2 linked regions of the Tamandua tetradactyla genome follow. The main gene of each other region encodes a partner of the protein of the gene in region 2 in a complex. Links are inferred from orthologs where the notes say so. Each region holds a gene or a part of one and is shown on either strand. Other genes may lie near its edges. The genes, in order: ORMDL3 and SPTLC2.

The links.
Region 1: the proteins of SPTLC2 (region 2) and ORMDL3 are in contact, whole or in part, in a cryo-EM structure (PDB 7K0O), measured with the Homo sapiens proteins. The link is inferred for Tamandua tetradactyla from reciprocal best matches to the Homo sapiens genes SPTLC2 and ORMDL3. Residues at the interface, in NP_004854.1 of Homo sapiens: Glu65, Thr66, Pro67, Met68, Ala71, Val72, Tyr75, Tyr86, Gln116, Phe118, Glu119, Asn120, Phe121, Tyr122, Tyr127, Trp134, Asp259, Glu260, Leu261, Asn262, Val267, Arg271, Ile279, Met320, Val495, Val496, Gly497, Phe498, Pro499, Ala500; in NP_001307730.1 of Homo sapiens: Met1, Asn2, Val3, Gly4, Thr5, Ala6, His7, Ser8, Pro12, Val16, Ser19, Arg20, Gly21, Ile22, Leu24, Ser25, Leu28, Phe63, Val67, Lys68, Gly69, Thr70, Pro71, Phe72, Glu73, Pro75, Gln77, Arg81.

The regions. Positions count from the first base shown.
Region 1 is NC_135332.1:27,330,503-27,338,187, reverse strand, and holds the start of ORMDL3 (ORM1-like protein 3), read right to left. Parts: upstream 3,089-7,685; 5' UTR 2,961-3,088; intron 2,714-2,960; exon of another isoform or gene 2,564-2,713; intron 2,145-2,563; exon of another isoform or gene 2,037-2,144; intron 1-2,036. UniProt on the Homo sapiens protein: Plays an essential role in the homeostatic regulation of sphingolipid de novo biosynthesis by modulating the activity of the serine palmitoyltransferase (SPT) in response to ceramide levels.
Region 2 is NC_135338.1:36,978,673-36,985,749, forward strand, and holds the start of SPTLC2 (serine palmitoyltransferase 2), read right to left. Parts: upstream 3,249-7,077; 5' UTR 2,948-3,248; coding exon 2,819-2,947; intron 171-2,818; exon of another isoform or gene 1-170. UniProt on the Homo sapiens protein: Component of the serine palmitoyltransferase multisubunit enzyme (SPT) that catalyzes the initial and rate-limiting step in sphingolipid biosynthesis by condensing L-serine and activated acyl-CoA (most commonly palmitoyl-CoA) to form long-chain bases.

The sequences.
Region 1 (7,685 bases), on a different chromosome or scaffold from region 2:
CTGATTGTTTTGTTTGTTAATTTTTTTAATTAATAAAAAAAAATTTTTTTAAGTACAGAAGGAAATACAATAAAATGTATAATGAATGGGAAAAAAAACCTGGCTGACTCTACGCTCCCACAGGTAGCTGGAATCCATAGCAACACCCTCCTCCCAAGAACACAAAGCCCTACCTCCAGCCTCCCTCCTGCCCTTCTCTGCCCCGCCTATCCTCACCTCAGCCTTCTTTCCAAACTAGGACCTACTTCCAGGTGTAAGTTAACACCATATCTCCACCTTCCCAACTCCAACGGTAGAAGCTATGCAGCGGGAGGAACCAGGAGGGCTGCCCTTCATGCCCAAGAAACAATGGTGGCAACAACCCAGAGTGGGTTAAGTGACGTGGAGAAGGCAGGGAGGGGAATGAGCAGTCCCTTGTCCAGAGCTTGGCTCTTCCCAGATCCCTGAGGGTCCTGGACTAGCTGGAGATGGGAACAGATGGTGCCTGTGTACTGACTCACCTTCCTGCTCAAGGGAATGTCCTGCCTCACGAAGACCATAAGGTCCTCACCAATCTTTCCTGGAGATGCAGAAAGGGACCCCAAATGCAGCTATTCTGGGAGTGCCCAGAAGGCCACCTTTTTCACTCCACTGCAAACAACCCTCTCAGATCATCTGCAGTCTCCCTCTGGCCAGGATCCCAAGCGGGTCTGCACAAGAGCCAGAATTCCCAAGGGTCCCTTCTCTATTTCCAGGATAATGGGAGCAAGTTTCTTTTTCTCATTCAGCTCCAAGCTTAGAGCTCTCAGGGAAAACGTGCCTTATAACTTATCTTCCCAGCATACAAACATAAGGGCTGGCCCAAGGTGACAAGTGAAAGAAGCGATGCTCCTGGGGCTCATCAGCCTAGCCCATTAGGCTGGATAATTGGGCCTATCAGAAGCCTAAGGAAGTAGAAAACCAGAGCCAGCTCGGCTGTTTACCTTCCTAGGGCCTTGGGGCTTCAGTTACCCTAACACAGCCCCTGGGATACCTACTACTAGATAAAAGCCTCGGTGTGTGTGTGTGCGGAGGCTGTGAAGTGAGAGTTTGAAGGACTTATTACTAACTGAAGGGAAAAGTTCCCCAAGTCTGACCAAAACTGCTGCTCTCCCGACACCTCCCCTCCTTCTCTCTACCCAGACTACCGCACCCAGGTGTGGGGTGGTATAGAAAGACCTCTAGTTTTCCCTAGTATTTTGTCCAAAAGTGCCAAGACCCTAGTTGAATCCTAGATCACAAGACCCAACACCCCCTTCTGGCTGGCACAGGTCTTGTCATCCAGCCTGAATGGTGTAGGAGGGGCCTAGACCCCATGTCCTAGCTAACTGCTCTGGGAAGCTTCTTCCTGACACTGAACACTAGGTGCACTGAGAGGAGAAAAACCCAGGAACACCTCCTTGCCCCCTGCCCCCCAAAAGACAAAGGCAGAAGAAATCCATAAACCAAAAAAAAAGACTGACAGCCAGGAAGCACCCTTGTGAGTAAAGGTAAATATCACTTCCATTAGTAAAATAATCAGTTGACCCCTCTCCCTGAAGGGAAGAAACGTGGAGAAGAGGCCAGCAGAGGTACAATCAACAGCAGACCAGCCTGAAAAGTTCTACTTCCACAGCTGGCAGGTGGCTGCCTGCACCAGCCCCTGATGTGGTTTCAAAACCTGCCCCAAACCAGTGCCTGCAGCAACTCTGTTCTGTTAACCACTTTCTTGCTAGCAGTTTTTTCCCACTCCTCCTCCTCCCTCCCCTACCCACTGGCACCCCACACTGCTATCCTGGCTCTGCCAGTCTGTCAGACAACTAAGTCAAGGCCAGAGTATGCCCCAGGGCAGCAGCCAGGTGAGCGCTTTCCATCCCCTTCCCCAGGTAAGGGCAGCCCTTTACGCAAACCTTTTGCTTTCTGGGTTCAGGGTACAAAAATCCAGGTCTGCACCCCAACGGAGAGTCCCCGGCAGCACTCCACAACGCCATTTCCATTCCGCCCACCTTCCAAACCCAGAAAAGGCTGCAGTTCCTCACCTCTCAGCTCCGGCTGGGCCTCCGGGACTCCGCCGTGGGAGAAGAAAGACCGCGAGTACCGAAGCAAACCCCCAAGAGCCCAGAAAGAGGGAGGAGCGAGGAGGCGGAGTTCTCACTATTGTTGTGGGGCTTTCTGAATGGGACCTCCGGCCGCCGGAGGAGCCTCCCACTCCGCTCCCCAGCCCGGGACCTAGCACTGGAAGCCTGGCCCGTTCCAGGGCCCCACCCCCATCTCCACGCGTACACCAAGCCTTGGAAGCGGCCAAACCTTTATCCCCAAAGCCAAGCCGCTCCCCGCCCCCCACTCCCAGCTACAGCGCCCCTCCCGGTCGTCCGAACCCCGACCTCCCGCCCCCACGTCCCTCTTTGGGCGCCCCTTAGGCTGATGCACCCCATTCTCACGCTGTCCAGGTCTCCTCCAGCCCGGGACGCCTCCCCGGCAGCCCCCACTCCTCTCCGGACCCCCTGCCTCTACTGCCAAAGACCCTCCGGCCCCTCCATCCCGGAGGCCGCCCGTCCAGACTCACCTTGCGAAACCAGAGGTCGAGGGCCCAGGACGGGTACCCGGGGGCTGCGGGACGGGGCAAGCGCCGGGACCGCTGCTGCCCCAGCCCTGTAACAACCCGCAGGGGCAGCCTCCCCGCTGGCAGCCCGGGCCGAATCAGCGCCCCGTGCCGGCCCCCGTGACGTCACCGCCCCGCGCCAGATTGCCCGGTGCCTCCTGGGAGTTGTAGTTTCTCCCCCGCCCCTCTCGCGGACCTGCCCGAAGGCTCCTGGGAGTTGTAGTTTTTTCCCGCTGCTCCTGTCGCGACCTCGCTGGAATCGCAGAACCGAATGCCTCACCCGGATGTGATAATAAAATGGTATGACTTTGGCGCATAAAAATCCCTGCTTTCTCGTCCTCGTCCACCAACTGCGGCTTACCGTCACTTCGGTTTTGCACGTGAGGAAACTTGGAGTCTTAAGTAACTTGCTGAAATTTCCCGCTGAGCCCCTGGACCAGAGCCTAGGATTCTGACCCCAAGGAAAGGCTTTTTCCACTACATCTCTCCGCCCCCGCCCTAATCCCAGATTGGCTCTTCCAAAAAGCGCACGAGGTCGGCCCCTGGGCTCGCTGGGCTCTCCTGGGAGCGAGTCCTTACAATGTTGGCTGGGGTGAGAGACTGGAGGGTGGAGTAGGTGGCCCAGAGACAGCATTGATTCAGAACGTCCTGTCCAGCCCACATGCTCGGCCTTCACCCCGCCCCCGGCAGGCTGCAGAGAAGAAGGCCATGTGTCATGGAAATACTCCTTAATGGAGAGTTAGGTGACTGAATTCCTCTCCCAGGTCAATGTGTGGGAGGCTCCATCTCTCTTGTGTACAGTTTTCGTTTCTGTACGCCCCGAAAGGGAAAGCACCAGATTTACTGCCAGGTTGAGGTAGTGTAGGCACTTCTGTACCAGCAGCGGGACCCTGGACAGATTATTTCATTTGTCTTAATCTCACCAATTCCGCACCTGTGAAATCGTTCCTTCAGCATTTGTGTGAATTCAAAAGAATGTATTCTAAAACACCTGTTGCATTGTAGGAAGCTATTTCTGTAGGAGGTTCAACTTTTGAGGACTCCTAACTCATTTCCACTTTCCAGGTCCCCAAAAGGGCCTTCTCTGGGTAGTTTCCACTCCCCCACATAGCTTCTCTTTAAAGCCACTGTATGTGTGGCAGGGCTGGAATAGGGGATCAAACCACAGCATGATGTACCAATCTGACTGACTGCAAACACATCCTAAAATGACAACGAGGGGACAGGAGGAAAGCACTGGCCCAGGAAACTTGGGGAGCACTTTCCTCTGCCTACTTCCCAACCCATCCCAGGGGACTGTTAGGAAGCAGTTGTCACAAGGTGTCACAAGGTGGGACCCCCAGAGGCACCTGGGCAAGTGAATATTTGAACCAACCAGAGCAAGAGAACATGTGGTTCCTCGAATATTTGCATGCCCAGTGGCCCAAGAGCTTCAATCCCAAAATCTAGATAATCACCCCAGAGTCTGAACAAGTTCTTCCTGTGTCTTAGAGAAGTGTTTCCTGCTTTGTGAAGGCTCCTTTCCTTAGACCCAACCTTCTGCAGCCATAAGGAAACGACTAAGTGTTTTCACAAAACCATCCATAGAGGCAAACAAAAGAAAAAGAAAGAAAGAAAAAGAAAACCTCTTCCTTTTTTCTCAAAAGGAGCCCATTTAGGGTGGGCCACGGTGGCTCAGCAGGCAAGAATGCTCGCCTGCCATGCCAGAGAACCCGGGTTCGATTTACGGTGCCTGTCCATGTAAAAAAAAAAAAGCCCATTTGATTCCTTTGATTTACTCTGAGATTCTTCCATTGTCCTTCGACTTGCTCAAACTCTCTGGATCCTTGCTACTTTCCTCACACTGGATCCACATCTCGGGTAAGGTTGTGACTGATAGAGACTCTAACGGAGAGATTACTAGCCGTGCCATGTAAACTGTGGATTTGTGGTGAACTGAGGATTGCTTTCTACTTTATTTAGCCCGAGTCCCTGTCATCATATTTCTCCTCTAGCTCTCTGCCCTCATAATTATCCCATTTTCACCAAACATCCTTTGGCCACAAATGGCCCTGGCGCCGTTCAGAGTGCACAGCTCTCACGAGGTACCGAGGGACATGCAACCCCCCTGGACAAGCAAGTAGCAATATGTGCCACGTGGCTGGAAGGGCAATCAGGTAATTACGCTTCTGGTAGCATATTCTCAGGAAATCCTCCCGTGTACAAGAAAAGCTACACTGTGTGGTGATGTTCATTAGGCATTATTCCTGTTAGTGGAAACCTAAAAGCAACCTAAATGCCCAAGAAAAAAATTATGATATCCATTGGAGGGAATGATATGCAGCCATTTAATAAATGGTTGTGAAATCTATGTAGCAGTATGGGAAAATGTTTGCTAAGTTATATGAAAAGATCAGGATGCAGAATAACAGAAGCATCTCCCAGGGATGCAGTTAGCAAAATCCTGCATGAAGGGAACAGGGCTGTTCAAGAGAAATTGGAAGAAGAAAAGGAAGAGAAGAGACTTACAGATGTAAAATTAATATATCAGCCAAAAGCCTTATTTGGACCCTGATTTGAACAAACCAACTTAACAACAAAAAAAGATTTTATTGAATTATCAGGGAAATTCAAATACTGACTAAATATTTTATTGCATTAAGGAATTATAAATGTTAAGGCATGATATGGTAGTGTGGTAATATTTTTAATAAAAATCCTGTGTAGAGATATATGCCAAATATTTGTAGGCAAAATGATACTATGACTAAATTTTCTTCAAAATAATCTGGGCGTAGAAGAAAAGAAACACTACTGGCCATGAAGTGATAACTTTTGAACCTGGGTAATGGGAACAAAAGGTTCCTTGTATTATATCTACTTTTTTGATGTTTGGAATTGTCCACAATAAAAAAAAGTTTGTAAAAACCTGTATATATACTACATTTAAGATAAGCAAAAATAGAGTCTTGCCAAATGTTAATAGAGGAAACTATGTAGGATGGGAGTGGGTGGGGGGATATGAGAACTGTACATTCTACCTGGTTTTTCTGTAAACCTACAACTAACTAAATAAACAAAGAAACAAAATGGGGGTCTCTTTTATTAAATCATTCCACAAATATTTGAGCATCTACTTTACTAGGCTATGGAAAGTCAACAAAACAGAAACAGACCTTGTGTTAGGATAGAGGGATCAGGGGTGATCTTTTTCATTCTCTAGTTTCAAACTTTGTGTAATGTGATATTATTAGTATTACTTTTTTTTTTTTTAACATGGGCAGGCACCGGGAATCGAACCCGGGTCCTCTGGCATTACAGGCAAGCCTTCCTGCCTGCTGAGCCATTGTGGCCTACACAGTTTTACATTTTTTTATGAAATGTGTTTTAAAAGCAGTAAAGGCGGGCCAAGATGGCTCAGCAGGCAGAGTTCTTGCCTACCATGCCGGAGACCCCGGTTCGATTCCCAGTGCCTGTCCATGCAAAAAAATAAATAAATAACAAAACAGAGTGAGCTGCCCTCACAGCTTTTCCCTGCGCTCTGGGAGCTCCAGGTCTGCAATCTTGGGAGAACTTCACATTCCCCAGCCTTGGGGTGTTACCACTTGGCGGGGTGGGACGGCTTCTGCCTGCGACAGATACACCGGCCTGAGCTGAGATAGCAAACAGAGGGCACGGTAATAAACAGAGAGCAGATTCCGGGGCAGTGGGGAGGGAGGTGGGGCGTCAAGAAGCAGAGCCCCTTCCCCCGACCCTGGGAAAGAGAAGGATACCCCTTCACTCCTAGCCTGCTCTGACCTACCCCCTTCCTGAAGGGGTTGATGTCACACCCAGAGCAAGTGCAAGGAAGGAAAGAGCTATTTATTTAATTGGCAGTTGGGTTTCTGTTTTTGTTTGGGGGCGGGGGTGGTGGTGGTAGGGGAGCACCCTGGGGCACGTGAGGGGCGGGTGCTAAGCAGACAAAGGAGCACTGAGGGAACTTCCTGAATGCTGCAGAGCAGCTTAGAAGCAAGGAGGGTGTGCAGGGACTGGCCACGTCGCAGGTCAGTGCCCTGCCTGGCCTCTCTCTGCGGGTCCCTGTGGTTGGTTATTTTGGGGCTGTGGAAAGAAAGGGCAGTACTGGCCAGGGCCTCTGCAGCCAGAGCCGAAGCCTGGGAAGGAGACCTCCCTCTGGGACTCACGGGCAATGCAGAACTTGAAGAACCACTCAATCTGCTTATTTTTTTGGTGTGGACAATTGGCATTTCTCCCATGACCAAAAGCAGTTTAGAAAATGACGAATGTTACGGATCAAAAGAGCAATGGGTATTAAAAAGTATGCTTGCTGCATTGACAGTTTCAAAACAGGACCCCCAGCACCCTTTCAATTGCATCTGTACCCCTAGTAGGCTGCACCTATTTAGAAATTCTGGGTGGCCCTTGCCCCTTATCTCCTTCTTCCCCTGCCTAACACCTATATGTCCTTCAGAAACAATCACAACTGATGTTATTAGGTGTTGGCTGTGTTTCAGGCACTGGGCCTGTATAAACTCTTTTACTCCAAAACAGCGCTGTGAAGTACTTTTGTTATTCCCGTTTCATAAGTGAGAAAACTGCAGCACAATGAGTTTAGATGTTTTGCTAAAGGTCACAAGTCTAGGAAGTGGCATTTCTCCCAAAAGCCATTCCTGCCCACCCCACTGGCCCTCCTGTTCCAAGAGGTTTGTTAACACCTCTGTCACTGCATTGAAGATGCTATATCTGTTCACTATCTCCTCCCCCATCTAGGGCTGTTTACTCCATGTCTTACTCTTATTTGCATTTCCTGCAAATACCGGATTCTTAGTAAATATTAGCTGAAGTACATAACTGAACCACACTTCCCCATCTATAGCCACACTGATTCATGAAACATACCTTACCCTCTCTTGCTCTTATCTTGGCCTACAATACTTGTCCGCCTCTCCTTTTCCATCTGGTATACCCCATTCATCCCTAAGGCCAAGTTCATCTGTTACCTTCTCTGTAATGCGTTCCCAGCTGTCCAAGCAGAGTCCCTTGCTTCATCCTCTAAGCTCCTCTGCCCCCTGCAAATGGCTTGGACAGAGCCCACCCCTAGGCTACCAAG
Region 2 (7,077 bases):
CTTCTTTGCTTGTTATTAATTAATTAGCTGACATAAGAACATGTTCCTTAATTCCTCCTTGAGATAACAATCTTATTTTTTTTGGCAACTAGAAGGCTTTCACTCTTCTAATATCTCATTAAAACTACTACCAAGGCGAAAAAAAGTTAGGTTCAAAACTATCTCAAATGCAAATAATTTTTTTCCTTCCATACTTAACTAATTAAAGAAGGTAAAATGTGCCTAAATCTTAAAATTTCTATAAAGAATGAAAGGTTTTTGTTAAAGTGCTGTTAATAAGGAATTTGAAAAACAAACAATAGCATTATATTTTAGGGGCAACCAAAACGTCATATTTATTTAATCAAATGCTAAATCCACAGAAAGAAATAAAGGGACTAAATTATATAAATCCCGGAAGGTTTCTTCCAGCTCTAAATCTGCCAAAGTTACCCAAAGGTTAATTGCCACCCTCTCCCTTACATAAGGATTGACCTTCTTCCCACCCATCTGAATGACAGGGAGGAAAAATTACTGTATTGTTTAACTGCTACTCTTCCTTGAGAAAACTCTGTGTCTACTGTCATCATTAACCAATAACGCCTGATGGTTTCATACCTCGTCCAACCACAGAATCTATTTAATAAAACTATAAATCCAAACTCAACAGAGTAGCTCTTTAAACATATCCATTTATCCTTTCAAATTCAGAAACAGACTTAAGAGTGTGATGGGATCCTAACAAGTTTTCTAGTCTAACTGATCTCCTGTTCATCAAAAGACAAATGTTGGGATATGTCAAGAAATGAATTTATATCTTGGTTTAAAAACTATGCTATAATATAAATTTATATCTTAGTGAAAGCATGACACATATCTGTGTGCCTAACATCTATCTCATATATATTCTTTATGGCATAATTGGCAAGGGAAGATAGTAATTAAAACAAAATTAATATAAACAAACAAAAAAATTTAATTCTATACTGCTTTCAAGTTACCAAGATCTGCTCTTTTGCTTAAAAAAAAAAGAAAGGAAAAAATGTCATAGACAATATTCCTCTATATTAGTGCACAAAGCCACAGACCTAGTCTTTGTTTAACAAAGACTTGAGAAGTAGTTTTCTAAAAAGAATACTGCAACCCTAAACATTCCTCAGGGCATTCCACTTGACCATTCTTGCAAATGCCACCAATGTTATTAGTTGGCAGCCTCTGAAAAAAGAGCATGCCTATAAATACTAAACTGTTAGTGATTATAGGCGAGAGGCATTTGACTTACAACTAAATCAGAAGATAACTTACATAAAATGAAAAGAACACTTACACACAAAGCACCCCTAAAATGTGAACACTATTCTCTCGATTTCCTTTTATTTCTTAGCAATCTTATTCCACTTACTCATTTGCAATTATTTTCTAATTCCTATCCATTAAATTTCCCTACTATATTCTATTCCACACCTCTGACCTATATAGTCAGCCACTTACGTTGCTAGGAAAACAAAACTATCTTCCACCATTTATAATGAGCTGATTCTTACCAACTCCTCTCACGCAATTATTTTTTAAGAAATGAAAACAAATCTTTTGTTCTATTATTTTGCCTTGCACCCTACAACCTCAGGGGCGGTCAGGTATTTTTTCGTGTGTGTATTTTTCTCCCCACTTCTCAGGTCTCAATGTCTCAGTATGATCTGAAGAAAGGCTTTGTTTTTTCTTTCTTATCAACAGTAACAGGCCTATCTACTATACACTAACTGTGGGAGAAGACTGCATATATTTAGTTAAAGGTAAATTAAAATCACCTGTCAAAAACTGCAACTGTCACAATTTCTGCAAAGGAGAACTGATTACTGTTTTATATTTTTCTAAACCTCTGAATGAGACATAAGTATTAAAAGTCAATTGCAAAATGACCACAACGTTCTCTTCCAACAACACACTGCTCTTCCATCTTTTTAACTAGGCTCATCTTCAAAAAATACCTCTCAGCAGAATACCTGTCAGCACAGAGAATTGGAAGATTGACATACTGCTCTCTTGAATTCCGAACTTTCCAAAATATTTTAGAACTGCCTGAGCTGGGTGGTGATTCATTCAGTCTTGGTTAATTAGCATAGAGACTCATCACAAGTCACTAAGGTTAAACAATTCCCTTGCTAAAAGGGTCCTAGGGACCACGAAACTCAAAGTCTCTCCTGCAGACGGTATAGGGTCTCCCCATCTGCAACGTAAAAAGATATAATGCTTTGGAGGCAGAGGACCGAGATATAGTGCCAGATCTAAGATCCAACGTCTAGCATGTGGAGATCTAAAACGTGGTAGGAGGAAGCGAGGCATTTCCGCCTCGTACCACCTCCTAACTTTCTCTGCCTCTTTAGGACCCCAAGGGTGGTTTTCCTTGGACACCTTCAGGACTCCAAGGGGAAGCAACCACAAAGGTGAGAGCAAGGAGCCTCGGGACAAAGAACCGAGAGCCTTGAGCGGATCCCATAGGGGTCCGAGGGGCCACTCACTGCCTCCCCTGGGAGGCGGCCCGCAGCTCTAGTCGGGTCAAGTCTAAAAACGGACTCGGGACTCTTGAGCAGATCCCAAACCTCGGGAGCAAAGGGAGGGAGACGGTCAGGCACGCAGAAATCGGAAAGTCTCCAAGCCGCCCTTGAGCCAGCACACCTGAGCCGCGCCCAGTGCCGATCCCCGCAGGCGGTCACCGCGACGTCGCCCGCCCGGCCGCCCCTCCGCCCGCTCCGCGAGGCCCCCAGCTCGCCGCATCCCGGCCCACCGCTCTCCCGCCCAGTCCCGCCCAGTCCCGCCCGGCCGCGCGGTCCCACCGTACCGGGCCGGAAGCGGCTGCGACGGCTGCGGCGCTGCTCCTCACGTAGCCGTTCCGCACTTCTCCGTTCGCCAGGCAGCCGTTCGCCCGCAGCGGGCGGCGGCAGCAGCAGCCTCCTGGCCCCGGCCGCATCGTCCCGGCAGCACCAGGAGCAAGGCAGACTGTGGAGACGGCTTTGGCCGGGGTGACGGCGACGGCTCCTAGCCCCGCTCGGCACCCCACCCACCTCCCCGAAACCGGAAATGGCTGCCGCGCCGCCGCCAATTCCAGGCCGGACCGTCACATCGGGGTGGGGCCCACTCCCGCGGAGGACGCGGCTCGCCCAAGGCTCCGCAGCAAAGGGGGAACCGGGATGGGGACGCACTAAACGGGGAAGTGGGCCTAGGCGCTGCTGGCCAATCTGGACGAGAAGGAGGCGTACCCCTGTGGCCGCCTGGCCAATCACCGGCGAGAGTGAAGCGACTCGCCGGGGTCGACGGGGGCTTCTCTGGAGGGACTGAGGACCTGGCACCTGATTGGAGGCCCTTGCCGGGTCGGGAGTTTAGGCTTGGCTGTTTAATGGTCCAGGCTGGGGGAAGGAGGCGGGGTTCAGGAAGAAGTAGCCGTATAGAGTAGGAGGGAAAAAGGAGGTTGAGCCTAAATCTCGAGAGGATTCCTTGGTTCTCCTAGATTGATGGCACCCTTGCTGCAATTTAGTACCTCCCCAACCCCCCGGGAACTTCTCGAGTTTGCTTCTCAACCCAAGACAGGCAGCTCCTTCATTTAATTAGCTAATTCCTCTGTGGGTCTTAATAGAACAGCCTTTTTTTGGCATTCTCTTATTCTTAAATATGCACTACACATTCCTTAGATAAATTAACACGTTTAAGTAGCCATTTTAGATATCTCTTTGCCCTTCACGGTTATTCCTGTCAGGGTTTTCTATACGATCTCCTCTCAACAGCACCTCCCTGAAAGTCAGAAAACCTGGTCTAGTTCCAACTTTGCCAATAACTGGAAGCTAAACTTGAATATTTACATTGGGAGCCAGTTTCTTCATGTGTAAAGTGGAATTAATGCTTCTTGCTTCACAGAGTCATTGAGAGAATCATGTTAATAATGTTTTGTGCACCTATAATAATGCCTGGCCCATTACAAGGAGCCCAATAAATATTATTTTCTCAGTCCTTTATTTCTACCTTCTCATGGGAATTAGAAAGAAAGGAAATGGGTCTATATTACTTTCAGTTACCTGTCAGGAATATAGTATCATAGTTAAGAGTTTGTACTTTAGAGTCAGATAGTCCGGTTTAAGTCAGACTCAGCTTACCAGCTGAGTGACCTCTAAGTGTTTTCATTTGTTAAATGAGGATAATAATAGTTGTTGTGAAGATTAAGTGAGTTAATATATGTAGTATATTTTATAAGGATTTGGCGATTACTAAGTATTCATTAAGTGTTAGTTATTGGTAGTTGTTGAGTGTGCCTATGAGAGCCTCTGCCTTGTCACCTGGGGAGCTTTAGAAAGGAGGTTGACAAGGTGTTAATTTTGCATGATTTAGTAGTAGAACAATCTAACAGCAGGTAGATAGAAAAGATAACCTCTTTGAGTCAATAAACGCTGTGATCCCCAAATGTACTTAGGTCGGTTATAGATGGATGAGGCTACAAAAGGAATAGGAGTTGGCCCTCGTGGCATTTACATTCTAGTGAGAGACAAGATGTACAGATATAAAGTAAACAATAATAAGAGGTCAACAGAATGTTGGAGAGGTTGGGGGCAGGAGATCCGTTGAGGTAGGCAGTGATAAAGTTAGACTTTCTAAATACATTGCAGAAATCTGGTTGGAAGCAGGACTAAGGAAGTTGACCTGAAGCTTAAATAGTGTGCTGAATGGATTGGAGTAGGCAGAAGGCTTGGGAGTAAAATGTGGAATGGGCTTGATCTTGGAGGATGAACAGAATTTGGAGAACTGAAAATGAGAAGGGTATTCCAGGGGAAAGAATCTTCAGAAGCTAAAATGCAAAGGCAGAAAGGAACAAAGCCTGAAACTGGAGCCCAAGAACAAAGGAGTCAGAAAAAGAAAAAAAAAAAGAATAAAGGAGCCAGGCTAAATTAGAGGAATCCTATTAGCCAGTCCCTCCCTCCTGAGGGCAGGACACCACCTTCTTGTCTTGTTCTGCCACTTACTCACCATATGTGGTCTTAGCCAAATCATGCAATCTCTCAGCCTTGGTTTCCTCACCCGTCTTACAAAGTCAATACCTGTATTACTTACCTTGCAGGACTTTTGTGAACTTGAATGATATAATGCACAAATGATCTGATCACTCCTATTTCATTGCTAAATCGCAAAGAAGATGCCTCAGAAGGCTGTAGGAAACACCTTAAGCTCCATGTAAGCAGGAAAATAACTCCTTACTGATGCATAAGCCACTTTATCATTCCACTGAGTTCATATGCAAAGTTCTATGCTAAATACTGAGGAGACACCTCTTCCTTTCCTTCAAGATTGCTCAAACCACCTCAACCCTGAAGCATTTCTTGAACTCCAGCCTCCCCATAAAATTATTCCCTTTCTACTTAGTGAACTTTATACACACCTGTGTGAGCATTGCTTTGGAATTCTTTATCTTGAAAGGCAGTAGTTAGAGGCAAAAGCTCTGTTGTCAGACAAATAGGATTAGAGACCCAGCTCCAGCACTTAGAAGCCTTATGACTTAGGGAAAGTTGCCTAAACCCTCTGTGCCTCAGTTCCTTCATCTATAAAATGAGACTTCCCTCATAGAATTGTCGTGGGCATTAAATAAGAAAAATATTTAGTACTAGGGCCTGTCCCATTGTACTCAAAAAGTACAGGCTACAACACTGAGCAAAAGAAGTCAGGCAGAAAAGAATTTGATTTCGTCTATTTGACAAAACTATTCTACAAGGGTAGAAATCGTATCAGTGGTTGTCTTAGGGAGGGGGGAAGGGGAGAGTACTGAATACAAAAAGGCAAAAGGAAGCATTCTGAAGTGATAAAAGTGTTCTACATCTTAATTGGGGTGTTGGTTAAATGGGTGTATACTTATGTCAAAACTTAAATTCTACACTTAAAATGTGTGCATATGACTGTTTGCAAATTAAACAGCAGTAATGTTGATTTCAAAATAAAATTATATAATAGCCTGATTTTAAAAAATGTCCTGGCTGTAATGAATCTAATGGTGGATGATGTCTATGATTAACTGTACAAATATTTTAAAGTTCTTTCAAGAACTACAACAAATGTATGACACTATTACAAGGAGTTTATAATAGAGAGTTATATGGGGGTAAAATGTATCTATTGCAAAGTATGGACTATAATTAACAGTAATATATATATTTTTTCTTTGTATGCTGTATGGTGGGGGGTCATATTTCATTCTTTTTCCGTGTAAGTATCCTCTTCTTGCAGCACCATTTGTTGAAGATTTGTTTTGTTTGTTTTTTCATTTGTTTGTTTGCTTGTTTGTTTGGGAAGTGCATGGGCCAGGGAATCGAGCCTGGTCTCCTGCATGGCAGGCAACAATTCTACCACTGAACTACCCTCGAACCCCCAACAGTAATATTTTAATATTCTTAATCAACAGTAACAAAATACCACATCAATACTATGGGTCAATAATAGGGGGGATAAAGGGTATGGGAGGGTTTGGGTTTTCTTTTTTTCTTCTTACTTATTTTCTGGAGTAATGAAAATGTTCTAAAGTTGATCATGGAGTTGTACGACGTGATGATACTGTGTCAGTGATTGTATATTTTGGATGGTTTGTACGGTGTGTGAATGTATCTCAATAAAATTGCATTTTAAAGAAGTATTGGCTATAGGGCGCATGGGTGGTTCAGTGGTAGAATGCTCGCCTTCCATGCGGGAGACCTGGGTTCGATTCCCGGACCATGCGCCACCCCCCCCCCCCACCCCCCAAAAAAAGAGTATTGGCTATTCTCTCTGTTGCATGAAAGGCAACATGATATTTGTGGCCACTTAATTTAGAGACTCAGATTCACAGACAACACAGACTTCAGTGATATAAAACAGGATTTATTAGGAAAGCAATTAAAAGATTGTTAGAAATTAGACATAGTTGCATCACCAGGTGGAATAGCACCAACAACACCTGAAGAGGAGTGCTGGGGAATCCTGGAGACAGCATTTTCAGGGACCAACTGGAAAAGTCCCATGCAAAGCATCCTCCTCTCCTCTCAGTTAAGATTCTCTCTCTTTTTTTCTGTCCTCTCCTCTTCTGATATTCTA